Linked DNA regions of Lepisosteus oculatus. The protein of the gene in region 2 interacts with the protein of the main gene of each other region in a pairwise test. Links are inferred from orthologs where the notes say so. Each region holds a gene or a part of one and is shown on either strand. Other genes may lie near its edges.

Region 1 (7,638 bases), on a different chromosome or scaffold from region 2:
GGGTAAGTCATCTGTTTGACAGAACGAAGCAGGGAGCCCACAGACGACAAAACTCTCCACTGTACAGAGTCTCAGTCTAATGCTGTTCTTTTCATTATAAGAATATAAGTGCACTGGCTGAAGCTCCTGGTACTAGTTCCTACTGGTCTCTTTACATCTACAATTTGACTGTAGACACAGCGTCATACAGTAACACTCTGAGAGATGTGCAATGCAGAAAGTGTCTAGCTGGATGGTCTCCACACTGAAGTGCCGCCTTCTTTTCCTTTTCCAGGGTTATGGAAGGTCCATTTTTGATCCTGGTGTGCAAAAATCATCCAGTGTCTTGCTATTCTAAATGCCCAGCTCATCCCTAGCCTAGCAAGGAGCTGAGGGGAGGGGAGACTGCTGGGAACAGCTGTGCACTGTACCATGTGTCAACTGATCCAACAGCCCTGCAGACTTTGCTAAGGCTCTCCCAGCTTGCTTCAGCCAGCGCATCAGGTTTCCTCTATGAATAGAGACGAGAGGAGCTTCTGTGGGTGTATGTGCACAGGGTAGCGGCATGTATAAATAGGCTGCCCCCCCCCCCCCATTCTTTCCTATCTCCCACCACTTAAAGGGAGCACACTAGGCAAATGTGCTCTGCCATGCAGCTGCTGTCTTCTGTTCTGGAACAGCTCTCCCTGAGGATCAGCTTACAGGCTGGCCCGGCCTGCATTCACACGTCCGGCAATTAAACTGCATGCAGATGCCTCTCCAACATGCACAGCTCGCAGCTGCTCCTCTGGGGGCAGTTTTATATCTTTTAACTCCCTTGACAACACTTTACTCTGGGGCACTTTCATTGCTAGCTTCTGGTTTGCTTTGAAACTCTTTCAGCTTCATCATTGGATGGCTGTAGGAGGTAACGTTGTCTCTAGTTAATGCAGAACTTGTTTTTTTTCCTGAAACGTAAGTAAAAAAGTCTTTTGTGTAACCTGAGTCTGCTAGTGTCTGTTGGTGATGTTCATTTTGTTTCTCTCCTTAAAGAAAAGAACCTCCTGCAGGACCGCTTTAAACATTTCGTGGAGTGCCAGATTTTCTCTGGTGTTTTGGAACTCAAACTTCTGTTTTTAAGCATCAAACATGTCAGCAACACACCCATCTGCAACAACCTGAGATTTTTCATTTCTTTATTAGATGACCAGGTTTTTGTCGCCAGATGTCTTACACAAGAAAGATGTCTTTCTTTTTTCTGGATTGTTCAGTTTTTTTCATTCCTTTAACTTTTCTGAACTAAAATGTACCAGTGTTAAAAAAGTCCAATTTTTTTGTTTTGCAGAGCATCAATGCCAGGGCAGCTGTTGCACCAGGAAATTGAAGTGGGTTTTGTCAGAGAAAGCCAGCAAGTTTGCAAAGTAATAATTGAGCACAAACGGGGCTTTCATGGACAGGACCATCTCTGGCTGAGTTCATTCTGCATTATCCTAGGAGAAGGAATTCCCACACCAGTGACAAGAGAAACTGGACAGAAAGGGATCTGATGTCTGGCTCTTCTGGAATCTGGTTTAGATGGGGAAGGAGAGAAAAATCTCAAACAAAAAGCCGTCCATAGATCATTCGCTTGCATACAACGTTAGCGAACTGCTGTGGACTGTGTGACAAAGACAGGTGGTGTGGGAGACAGAAATCAGAAATCGTCAGCTGTCATGACAGCTTATCACACCAAGACCAAGACACAGATTACACAGCACTCTGTGTTGTATTGATTGTGCGTACACTTGTCGTAAGTGGACCATCACCTGCAAATTGCAACTACAGTACTTTGGATTAGTGTGATTAGTATTGGCACTGACACAGTACTTATCAAATACTTGCTGTCAAGCCTTTAGCATTTGCCAATAGATACAGAATGCTTTCTAAGTGTTTTTAAGTGGTTAAGCAGTTATGCAGAAAAAAATCAAGATAAGTCTGCCACTGTTAGACATTCACAAGTAAATGGGAACATTGTGGCACTGCATTGCAACACAATATACCTTTGCAACTGCTCATTGCTCTGTGTTACACTGCAGCAATCTTGAAATAACACCTCTTCCTTTTACATCAGGTGCACATTTGGAGCCGATAGGTATAAAACCAAAAGGCCAAGTCTGGTATTTTCTTCTTCTCCTGTGACCTTGAAGGGTCCTTGACTTTGGCATCGTAAAGTCCGGCAGAGACCGGTGACACTGCCCTGTCCACGCTCACTGATAAAACACGGCATAAGAGAAGCGAAATTCTCCATTCATGCCCTCTCCTTCCACCTCTTCCCTGATCTCTACTGCCTTCACTCTCAGGGCTGATGAGGACCGACAGAGCCCTCTCTCCCTGCTGCCACTGTGTTGCGTTCTGCAGCACAGACCCTTCACACAAGCAGCTGATAAGAGCCAAGGGCACAGAGCTCCACCACTTTGCGCGATGGTGCAGTGCAGCCTTGTTCAACGCAGAGCCCTCTGTGAAACCCACAGGAGTTTCGAGCAGTTTGCAATCTTGAATGGGAGGTCAGAAATGTCACATTCTGTGCAAAGTCACAAGCCAGGTCCAAAACCCATAGATCGGCAGTAACACTTCATAAGTCCTAGCAAAAAACTTCACTTCACCTAGCAAAATCTCACAGCTTAACTGTAAAAAATGCAACAGCAGGCCACTGTTCAGACCCTTGGTGGTCCTTTCTTTACACAGCAAATGGGAGTTTTAAAGCAATGTACAAATAAATGGATAATTAAAAGTGAATAATGCCTTCCCTCTGGTTTTGGAGGTAGATCGTAACTTTTATTTTTTTTAAAGAGTTAAAATGAAGCTTTATTTTTTTTACTAGGACACATTTCAGAACACCCCAATCTGCCCTTCACCCACCCCACCAAAACATCCAAGGACAGTCAAAGAGGATTTACCTGGATGGGATGAAAAAGGAGAGGTAACAGTCCTTGGGATCAGATCCTTTTCACCAAAGCCGAAATAGGGGTAGCCCAAGGTCCAAGGAGTCAAGCCTTAGGTTTATATACTAGGCTGCCCTCAGGCCATTGGTCAGCTGGGTTTCTGAGTGCGGAGCCCGGATTGGTCAGCCCCTCGTCTCCAGCGCTGCTCAGATTTGGGAAGGCAGGGGCTCACGTCACAGTGACCTAAGATGGGACGGCAGCTGCCATCTCTCTTCCTGCTCTCCAGGCCCACATGCAGCTCGGGGGGGAGGAGAGAGCCTCCATGTGCGTGTGCAAACCCAAGCCCCCGTTTGCCAAACATACTTGCCGTGCCTAATGGCTTTAGAGCTGGAAAAATACCTTTGCTATCTTCCGTATCACGCACCGTAGAGTTGGCATTGGTTCTCTGCTTTCAGCGTGGTGACATCTGGGACTTAAGCATGCGCCTGTGTGTGGCAGAGTGCGTATTGAGATTAAAATGATTGATTTTTATTCTTGTCAGGCAGCTTCTCGTTGCTAGTCCTCCATCGGTGCGGGATATTTAAGCAGCTGCGCTCCTGAGTCTCCGTGAGTCGGGGAGCACAGCCGGGGCAGCTTGGGTTAGGGTGTGTGGAGGGGGTCCCTAGTTTGGACAAGAACCGTGCTGAAGGAGATGTTTACCTTAAAGAAGAAGCTGTGGGGCTCTAACTGTGAAAGATGATTGTGATATCTGAAGAGGAGAGCTTCTTTAATGATCTGCTACTGGAGTTATACAATTGTTATCCCTGCCTATTGTTCTTTCTCTGGGCCTCTCATGTGTCAAACTGTAGACAGGTGTGAGAATTGTGTCACAGATCAACACAGTGTCACATGTCCTAGAAGCTAAAATTGTATCCCATTATCCTAAGATTCCTTGGCTTCCTGGGGCTGGGCAAGAGATTTTGCAACTTTTGTCTTGGATTTATTTTCCATGGCTGTTGATGCGAAAGTGATGGTTTTCAGGAAAAGATTTCTTTAAGTGCCTCATGGTTCGATTTTGGAAGAGCAGAGGTGTCTCAGCTGTGCAAAGAAGGTTTGTTGTTTGTCAGCAAGCAAAGCTGTTATTGACAAGAGCAGAAGATCACTTGCAAGGGGACTTTTCTGATGGTTTCTTTCATGATTGGGCTTTGAAAGCATTTCCTTTAAAGCAGAGAAAATGAAACCATTTTAATAACTATTAGCATTGCAGACAGAAGTTTTGAGGTTTATGGATAGACAGAAGAGATCAAAAGATGCCATCAATCCCCATGAGAAGCCTAGAGATAAAAAAATTGCCTAAGTTCTGGCTCATACAGATTCAGTTTGAAGAGCTATTTATCTTCTTGGACAATTGTGCGGTTAGCTACTAGATGTGAAATTAAAACAAATTTCATTTTATATCTCAGGGAGTATTTGTGGCTGTGAGCAGTCTAATTATGTTTCTATTGCTTAGAAAAATGACTGTTGTCCTTCCCTGCTAGTGTCCAGTGTTGATGGCAAGAGGTGATTTCTTGACGAAAGAACAAGTGCTTGAGAAGGATGATCAATGATCGATCAAAATGTGTTTTGGAGGACTGATGGCCCAGTCTGAGTCCTCACAGCATTATGCAATCTAGTAAAACAGGGCTGTAGCAGAAGAGTAACATAACAGCAGGTTGAGCAGAACAACTCAAGTTTTTAAAAGGCAGTTTGTAAGTTTTAGTGTGTTGTGCAAGGGACAGGAGGACAGGAACCATGGAGAACAATCTTGTGGTTAAAAGTGACACCTCTGAACCCTCTAGTGCCGCACGGGGGTCTAAGGCTTGTGATGTGTCCAGCCAGGGCAGTTTGCGAGAGAACTCTTTTCCACCGGGCTAGATTTGCAGGATACTTGTCTGTGTGAGGTTCAGCCCAGCTCTGCGCCTCTGGATGTCAGAGAAGCCCCAGCAACAGGGTTGTTTTTTTTCTTTCTGTCGCTGAGGCTATTTCCAGTGGTATGCACACGTCGCTGCCAGAGAACGAAAGGACATCACACGCTCCGTAGGTCGTGCCAGCGGGCAGGTGTAAGACCCGCTTGCTGTTCCAGTTGGCAAGCACAGTTCGGGTGCAGCATTTTTCAGTCCTCCCCCTCCTAGCAGTACAGTCTGTGACGACCGCACCTGTTGGGCATCAGCCCCCACTCGGGACTAATGGTTTATCCAGCGGGACCATGTGACCAGAAACCAGGCCGCAGCCTCACTGAGGCTCTGCAGGGAGGAGAGCAGAAACACGAAGGAAAGAACTCCTTTCCACCTGTTTCTGTGTCCGCAGTACGTCCAGCAGCAGTAGTAGGACATGAGTGGAAAGAAGAGACTGATCAGGGAGTTTAAAAAGTCGGAAACAACTGGCCCAATCGCTATCCTCCTCCTTGCAATTTAAAATGTTAGTAAGACAAGAAACTAATGTATGACAGGTGAGCCAGACATCCTTTTCCATTGCTGGTTATTTGGGTTCACGTTGGGGGTGTTCAGCTCTAGCCCTCCAGGACCACAGAGTCTTCTGATGTTCATCTCCAAATTCCTAAATGTCCTCATTGCCTTTTAAAGCCAGATGTTAGCTTCATTGGACCAAATTAATTCTCTCCCTAGGTCTTAAATAGACAATGGTTTTCTTGAGCTGAGAAGACCAGGTGGACAGCTGCTCTCGTGGACCAGTGCTGGTTTACCTCAAGGATCTCTGTAGAATTCAGATTTGTTTGTGCTTTGTGCATGTGGTGCACGTTGAATGTGTTCCCCCACATCCCCACGTTACAGAATCCCAGCTGGGTGTTGGGGATACAGACTGAGACACTGCAGTGTGTAAGGAGATGTGCACACCTGTGATATTGCACAGAGGATGCCTGCAGCGGCTGATTATTGTGTTGCTGTTGCACCCCGAGTAGCACAATGACCTTGAGTGTGAGTGAACAGGGATCGACTCTCAGCAGCGTTAGCATGGGAGCTGAAGTCCTGGTTTGAAATTCGTGGGAAAGTGGCAGAGGATGAAGAGATACTTTTTAGTTAGTCTGTAAAGTCCGCAAAGGCTTACAGAATGAAAGGTAGAAACAGAAAGTCTTGTGGAGAAGAAAACCAAACAGCAGATGAGCATTGGTTGTGGGGGGTGAAGAGAGGGCAGAAGGCAGGGTAATGCTGGGGGAATAGGGAGGGAGCTGGAGGAGGGGTGGCACCGAAGTGACCTTGCTCTAAATCAGCCCTGAGGGTTCAGTTTCGCAGCTGTTGAGCTCCTGTCCATCCCTGACATGACTTACCAAATTAGTCTCTGCCTGGGCTCCCTGTCCCTTGTCCTCCCCTATCGCATGCTCCCTGTCTCCTGCCTTCACCCACAGCAAACGCAAAAAAACCAGGTGCCACAGGGGAGGCTGCAGAAACACAGAAGGCCAGCTGGCACAATCACCATGACCATCTTCAAGACAGCCCACATCTACAGCTCTGGCATGTCCTGCTGACTGTGTGGCTGTGCTCAGAGTTTACACCTCAGCTGTTAGCTGGTTGAATGATGCCGTTTTACAGTTGTGTTATTGCTTGGTTTCCTTTTGATGAGCCTCGGTAATGACAAAACAAGGCCATTTTCCTGTGTCGCTTGAGTAAGTGCACTTTTCAGTCTGCTGGAGTGTAAGTGTCCCTCTGACACAACTCTTTGCAAAACTGGTGTTTGGAAGTGTTCAGTGTTCTTCGCTGGGTCTGTCTCTTCTCTGAGATTCTGAGTGCAGCTCGGACTCATAACTCATGGGCTATTGTCTTCATGGGCGGGTTAGAGTCCCAGCTGCAATTAGAAAGGAACTGTTTGAAATCAGGGAGGAAGGAGGAAGCAGAGCTAGAAGGACAGAGGGAACTGGGAGCAGGAAGCAGGACGTGGGAAACAGGTCGGTGGGAGTGTGAGTAAAGTCTTTGGCCAGTGGCCATCAAGTGTGATCCTGCTGCTGAGCAAAGGGCTCAACAGCCGCAGGTCACTGGTGACTTTCCAGAATAGCCTGCAGTGGGATGCCTGACTGTCTAACAGTGCAGTGTGGAGCAGAACTGGTTATGTAATCCAGAGAGGTTTGCCTGTGGCCTTCGCTGTGACTCTGTGAAAACCTCTGGCTGACAGGCTGTTGACAACCTCTTCTTGGGTTAACCTGAGGAAACTGCGAGGCACGCTCATGCACACAGAGCACAAAGCAGAGCAGACACTCACAGGGCAGCGGCCAGTGCATCATGCAGTGGAGCCTGTTGCAGGCTCTCATACAGATGGGTGAAATTTGCACAATGGGATTGCAGACACAATGTTTTCACGATGATCAGAGGTGCTCATTTTTATAATAGCAGTGCGTTTTGAATGCCCTCTGACAACGATTGCTCTCTGCTACTTTTCTACATTCTCCTGTGGCCCGTATTATTGATAGATACCAAATGAATTCTCAAATACTCTCGGATATTTGCAGATATGTGTAGTGCACCTCACCAGCTGCATATGATAGGAGACAGCCACTGCAAGGTATTTTGAGCTGGTTCTTTTTTTTGCATTTGGAAACTCTTGTAATTAATTTATTTGCAGAGGCAGATGAGCATTTCATAATACAAATGTGTGTTACTTTTATGATTTTGAAATGAATTCTGAACCTAGACAAACTGCTACACACATGCGAGCTTTATTTCTATCCCAGTCCAACATGCTGTGGAAAGCATGAGCTCATTTTTACCTGAAGCAAAGAATCAGCTAGGATTGA
Region 2 (6,917 bases):
ATGTCAGCTATATTCACCACAAATGGATTTTTCTTGGTTGTTCTACATGTAGGTGTACTTCGTACTGTACCGTGACTGCGTTGTGTGTCCGCCTTCTTACTTAGCAGTTCCTTGTAGATGTTAATGTTGTCCTGCAGCAGCAGAATCAGTCCTACCATGCTGTACTGTAAACACCGTGCGTGTGGTCACACTGCACAGTGGCAAGCCATTCTCTGCAGCTGTTGCTCTGACCTGCTGCTCTCCTGTTTGTAGATGTCGATGATGTTCTCCACCAGCAGATTCCTCTGCAGCCCGTAGACCCCGTGCCGGTCCAGGACCACCTCGTGACGACATGATGGACACCGGAAACGGCCTCCCGAAATATTAGTACCACGGGACGTCCAGTACGGGTTTGCAGCCTGGAACAACCAAAAATGTGGAATCAGCAAGCCAGTAGGGGAGCATCTCGTGGGCATTAAATGTCAAGGCAAAGTGGTCCCATTGCCGATACTTGCTGGCAGGCACAGGCAAGGTGTGTCTCATTAGAATATTCAGTATGTCAAGGGACGTTCTAATGGTAAGGCACTGCAGTCCCAATATCCTTCTGTTTCTCCAGTCACTGGTTTCTACACAAAGAATGGGACTCTGTTGTTAATTAACAACACTTCTAGTTTCTTGGAAAGGGATCACAAATAAAATTCCATTATTATCATTATTAAAAATAAACTTGGTGGTTCTGGCTCTGAGTTACAACCATGGTTGCTGTAGATGAACACTGAAAATGGATCATGTCATGATGCTGAGAGACACAAAGCAGGTTAACACTGAATTTTAATAGGCACAGCAATTTTAATAGGCGCCTTGCGCTATGCTCGTCTGTCAATGTGCTACCCCACTTTAAGTCAGCTGTGTACAAGGAGCTCTTCTCAGGGCTTGGTACTGTCACCACTCCTCCCAGTGGGAGTCAATTGCTACAGTGGCTACAGCCAGCAAAGTGATCTACTCCCTCCATCTGCAGCAAACAGCAAGTGTTTACAAGCTTACTGTAACCATACCAGCGTTCTATTTTTGGGTTAATAGAAATGCTTGGGGTTAATGTGACCACAAGCCCAGAAAAACACTGGGAAAGTCAGTCATTCTGCCATAATCTGTTTTTATATACCACCTTTCAAGATCTCTTTATGAATGAACAAAACATTCTAAATTCAAATCTAACTCTAACTGTAGAGTATGTTCAAATAAAAAAAATAAATTAGTGAATACAGAAGTTTATTATTTTTATTTTTGTCTTATATGCAATACTGATTAGAGTATTGATAGCACTGACACTGTAGTAGTCAAACCTTGGTCAGTATCATAAGGTATTTCCCATTATAAACAGCCATTTATAGCTTATTTATAGCTAATACTTATTTAATTATCCTTATTTATAGCTAATACTAGCTAGATACTACCTTTGATAGCTTATACTAATCTTACTATCTTTGCAACCTTTTCCCAAAAACTGTACAGTAACTATCTGTTATAATGAGAGCTTAACTGATTATGCTGTTTAGGTCTTTAAAACATCAAAAGGAAAACCTATGTTTGATTTATGGTATAACTCTGTAATCCTTTGCATTTGTCATGTCACTATGAACTGGACTAAAAAACCGAGATGCTGAATATAAATCATATAAGTGTGGATTTCAAATTGAAAGCCAGCTTGTTTTACATGGTCAGGTTTACACAAGCATCTTAAGGGGAGAAGATGAGACTGATTTTAAAACAACAATTGTGGGAACAATGTGTATTTCAACTGATTGGAGTGCCTGCGACATAACAGCATTGCATTTTTACATGCAAGATCTTACATGAATATTAGCTATAAATCAGCTCCAATATGTCTTCTGTTGCTTATATCATACCCTCAATTAAAATCTTAAACTTTTTCTCAAATAGAACTATTCATGGAAAAGATACAATATTAAATCAAACAGACATTTCAACACACCACAGAAATAGACCCATGTAGTCCTTGATGACCTGCTTTAACAGCTTTTGTTCTCTCCACCTAGTCTCTTGTCCTTCCATGGATAAGGTGAATGGCTCATTCCAGGACATCAGTCATTTTATTATTCTAGCTGAAAGACTACAGAAACAAAGCACACTGTATCCTAAGACAACCTTTGCGTTCTGTTCAGCGTGAATGGTAACACGTTTGGCAAGCCAAAGGCTAGACTATCTTTCTCTAAGGCAATCCTGGAATTACTTTGCATGAGAATTCTGGTTCTATTTTGGTGGCTATGACCCGCATTGCCAATCTTACAAATGACCACATAAAAAAATCTGCTTCTTGCATTGTCCAGTTTTTGCAGACAGCCTTTGGACAAATAGAACGAACTACCCAAGCCAGTAATTGAAACTTTGACTCGTCTTCTTCTGCATGAAAAAGATTCCTTAAGAGCTAAATTAAAGTGTGTCCTTAATGTTAGAAATAATAGATTAAACCATTGCATGGAATTACACTGGGTTCTGATTTCAGTATTTAAATCACCTTTTCCTGACAAATAATTTTCACAGGATAGATGCATAGCTAGGTAGCAGAAAGTTTGAGCAACAGCATGAGTAAATAAAAATAAGTGACTAGAAATTGATGTTTCTCTACATTCTTACTGCAAAGACTGAAATTCTGGTCTCCAAGCACTGAGGTACATAGCTCACCTGAAACACATCATTGGCACATTTTCGACACAGGTTGTGTTGGCAAGGCAGAATGACCACAGGCTTGGAGAAGATCTCCAGGCAAATGGGGCAGATCAACTGCTTCTCCAGGTTCTCCATCCTGTTGGACTCCTGGATGATGCTCGATTGGAAATCCATGTCCTTAGATTTATAGTTGTTTAAACAGCTTCTTGGCCTTTATTCACACTCTTTTCCGGGAAAAGAAAGAAGCTCCTTTTTGTTATAACTCCTCTGTCTTTCCGAATCATTGCAGGCATGTGGAGAGTTTTGCCTATCACCCAGCGTCAGGCTCTATTTATACCCCTGGATGGAGTCACTTGATCCCAGCCCTGCTCCTGTGCATTCCTGGGGTCTGATAGCTAGCCTAGAAAAATCAGCTCTCTGCCTGTCCTTATCACATGCTGCCCTGAGGAATGCCTCTGCAGGATATCTCTCGTAGAACCCCTTAAAGGGATAGATTACAATAAATCTGGTCATTTTCCCTGTAGTTGGCTTATTTCACACACTGCTGTGTACAGTATGTTCTTAATGATTCTACAGGGTCTCGAAGAAAGCTCCTACTGTTTTGTTTTGTATTTATTGCTTATTCTGAGTAAATCATGTTAGTTTGCATTTATTAACAATATCTTACCAATACTTTTGTGAACCTATGAATATGGTACAAGATTGTTTCTTCTTTAATGTAGAAACATTTACAATAGAATATGTGCACCATCCACTGTGAGAATGTGTCACTCTTGACATGAAGGCCTTGTCAAGTAGTTGCATACAACAGGTCTTCTATAAAGCCAAATACAACTCCTCATTTGCACATGCATTCCTGTTTGCTTTGTCTGGGTTGGACACCCAATAAAAAACAGTTACACTTACTTGAATCTCGAGAATATGCAGGCTGAAAACAACCAACACTGTATAATCTTGAATTGAAATGATCTAATTCTCAAAAGTCTTAATCAACAGTTGACAAAAGGGGGCAAAATTAAAACTGGGCCAAATTAATCTGTGAAACAAATAGAGAAACAACACTTTTCCTGCCCTATCCCTAACCCAAGCCAGGGTTTAGAATGAGCAAATCTGCAATCTGTCTCTAAAGCCCTCAAATTATCAGATTTTAAAATGTTTCAGAAACCAACAGATATGAGGAAAAAATCAAAACTACTGAAAAAAGCTCTTGGAAATTTATCATCTTTAAGACTCCTTTAGACACATTTTTCAATCAGCTGTGAAACACTAAAAATGGTCTTCAAGATGATTGTGCATTTCAGGCTAGATTAGGGTTAGGGTAACAAGAACCCCTTAAAAGTTGACAGCAGTTAAACATTTATTTGCACTTTGACAAAATTAAGAGAGTTTAAACAGTAGAACAAGTTTTTTTACAACTTTTGATCTGGGTCACCATTGCAATACACTTACTGAACACTGTACAACATGAGTAGCCAAAACTCTCCAAAAAAAGAAGAGCAAATTATCAGCACTGAGCATAAAAAATGTGTATGTAGTGTACGAATGCTAACCCTAACCCTAGCCAGGGTCCGAGTTAGCAATTCTGTAATCTGTCTCTGAAGCCCTCAAATCAACAGATTGGAAAATGTTCCTCAAACCAATTAATATTAGAAAAAATAATCAAAACCACAGAAAAAAGCTTGTGGAAATGTTTCTTCTTGAAGACTGTATCTTCTTTAGGCAAATTTTCAATCAGCTGAAAAACGCTATTACAATAGTATTTAAACAATTGTGCATTTTAAGCCAGAGTAGGGTTAGGGTTACAAGAACTATTTAATATTGACTGGAGTTATAATTTTAGTTGCATTTTAAACAACAAAATGTTTTCTTACAACTTTATATTTGACTCACTTTTGGAATAGATACCGAACACTGTAATAAACAATATGAGCAGGCAAAAATCTTTGAAGATAGGATCAAATTATCAGTCGTCCTAAATTTCACCTAAGCCCCCAAATCCAGCGGTGATCGTAAAATATGTGTAAGTTCTGTGGGAATGCTACCCCTAACCAAATCCTGCAGATTTGAAAATGTTACTCAAATCAATAAATATATGTCTAAAAGCATTAAAACCACTGAAAAACGCGCTTGGAAATTTACCGTATCTTCTTTAGGTAAATTTTCAGATAAAAAAACGCTGGCATTTCAGGACAGAGTAGGGTTAGGTGAATAGAGTTATGGTCTATCCTAGCAAAGCAAAAGATGCAAGTCAGGATACACATCACAACCAATTTTCTCACTAGTCAGAAATTCATCAGTCCCATCCATCTTCAAACCTCTTCATCCAATTCAGGGTCGCAACGGAGCTAGTGCCTGTCACGCCAAGCAACTGGTGCAAGGCAGGATACACCCTGAATGGGATGCCAGTCCCTTGCAGGGCACACATAGACACAAACACCCACACACATTCACGCCAGGACCAATTTTCCTTAGAGCCAGTTACTCAACCAGTATGTTTTTGGACTGGGTGGAAATCAGAGCACCCAGAGGAAACCCACAGAAACATAGGGAGAACACATGGTGAACATGCAAACTCCACACAGAAAGCACTCCAGATCAAGCCCCAGCACCGTGAGGCCGTAATGCCAACCACTGCTAAGTGGGACATCTGAACATATTGAGCTAAAATAACAGGATGGAGTTACTCTAGTGCACAAAACTGTTGATCAGCATGACTAAGACAAACAAGTCAGACGATTCTATTTTGTATCAAAATACAGCAGAGACAGTGGTTTCTAGGGAAGAGGAGATAATAAAAGCAGTTCTGCCTGTATGAAAAGGGGGTCACAGCATATGCATCCGAAGCCGATTGTTACTTACTGTACAAGTCTGCTCATGCAGTCTCGAGACCTTTGGCTCAATTTCCTGCCCATAGTGTCAGCCAGGCTAAGCTATTTCTGGCCCTCCCACAGACTGTAAACTCATAACAAGAATAACAGGTTGGCAGTGTCATGAGTATTGAATTTTACTGTCATAGCACAGAAAATATAAAATGGAACTTTCAGTTGTAATACAGTGAAAGAACAACAAGCAAACTACAAAAACTTTCTATGCACATATACAGTTGGTGGTAGAATAAATACTAGGTGTTCTATCAATCGCCTTTTTAAAATGGTAAAACATTAACAGGAAAACTTTCAAAACATTTTATTCCAGTGCAAAATGTGTTTCTCTCCCTATTTGAGTTTATTTAAACTTCCAAAGCTACATTTAAAAAAAAAAACATAATATTTTACACATATTGCCTCTGGTCTATCTGGTATCATCATATGTTCAGTATGTTAGGATTTAGAGTTCTTTTAGAGCAAAAAACATCAATCCCCCTGTTAGTTTATTATAAAGCAACAGAAACTCACTTTCTTGAGTGGAATTTAGCTAGGACATTTGTTAAACACATCTACACCTATGAACAGTGGCATGACCTTGTAGTCAGTACAGGTACCTTTAACGCCTCATCCAAAAGACTGTTCCTCTTGTGTGACCTGTCACCATACTAGAGCATTGGTTCAGAGGGAAGCATGTTGCATACTGGTACACCACCACCACTTATAGCTGCAACTTCTTCCTTGCAGGTCTTCCATCTGAGTACTGACAAGACCCAACCTTGCTAAGCTTCTGATGTGAGGAGATATCAAGCTAAATACTGGTAACGTTGTCTATTGATGTTATGGGCCCAAGGAGCTTCAGTTGTATTACTGTGTATCATTCACGTGCTGAAACAGAGGGATGCCAGATCACCAGTTCAAATATCATTAAAATGCAAACCCACTCTCATAACATGAGCATAAAAGTACTTTATTAAACACAGGAAATGGCAGTATATACATACATGTAATAGCACCTTTTGCCTACCCGGGCTTTTGTGCAACGTAGGCTGTTGTAAAGTACAGAGGACATATGTAGTTCATGAAAATTCAATGCTTCGTTCCCCGCTGGAACAATTTTTCTTAGAGAGCAGCCATTTGTTTTTTTTACAAAAGACTTTACATAACATTTATTACAAGAAATATCATATCACGGTTGACACATTTTTCAGACCTGAGATCCATGCAAGATAAAGGAGAAATTACAAAATATTTTTTTTTTATCAGCTGTCCAGAATTCTAAATAAAAAACATACATCTGGTACACCTGTGGCTGGTACTCTTCCAACAGAAGGTCTGTTATTTACTGTAGTCCTGATGGGCGCACACCTCTTTTCCAGTTTGTTT

Evidence for each region. The genes of interacting proteins can lie anywhere in the genome.
Region 1: the proteins of E3 ubiquitin-protein ligase TRIM63 (region 2) and ckma interact in a two-hybrid assay, tested with the Homo sapiens proteins (2 studies listed by BioGRID). The link is inferred for Lepisosteus oculatus from reciprocal best matches to the Homo sapiens genes TRIM63 and CKM.

Annotation. Positions count from the first base shown.
Region 1 is NC_090698.1:1,919,569-1,927,206, reverse strand, and holds the start of ckma (creatine kinase, muscle a), read right to left. Parts: upstream 3,006-7,638; 5' UTR 2,895-3,005; intron 1-2,894. UniProt on the Homo sapiens protein: Reversibly catalyzes the transfer of phosphate between ATP and various phosphogens (e.g. creatine phosphate).
Region 2 is NC_090706.1:9,008,292-9,015,208, reverse strand, and holds the start of E3 ubiquitin-protein ligase TRIM63, read right to left. Parts: upstream 3,017-6,917; 5' UTR 2,842-3,016; coding exon 2,683-2,841; intron 399-2,682; coding exon 232-398; intron 1-231. UniProt on the Homo sapiens protein: E3 ubiquitin ligase. Mediates the ubiquitination and subsequent proteasomal degradation of CKM, GMEB1 and HIBADH.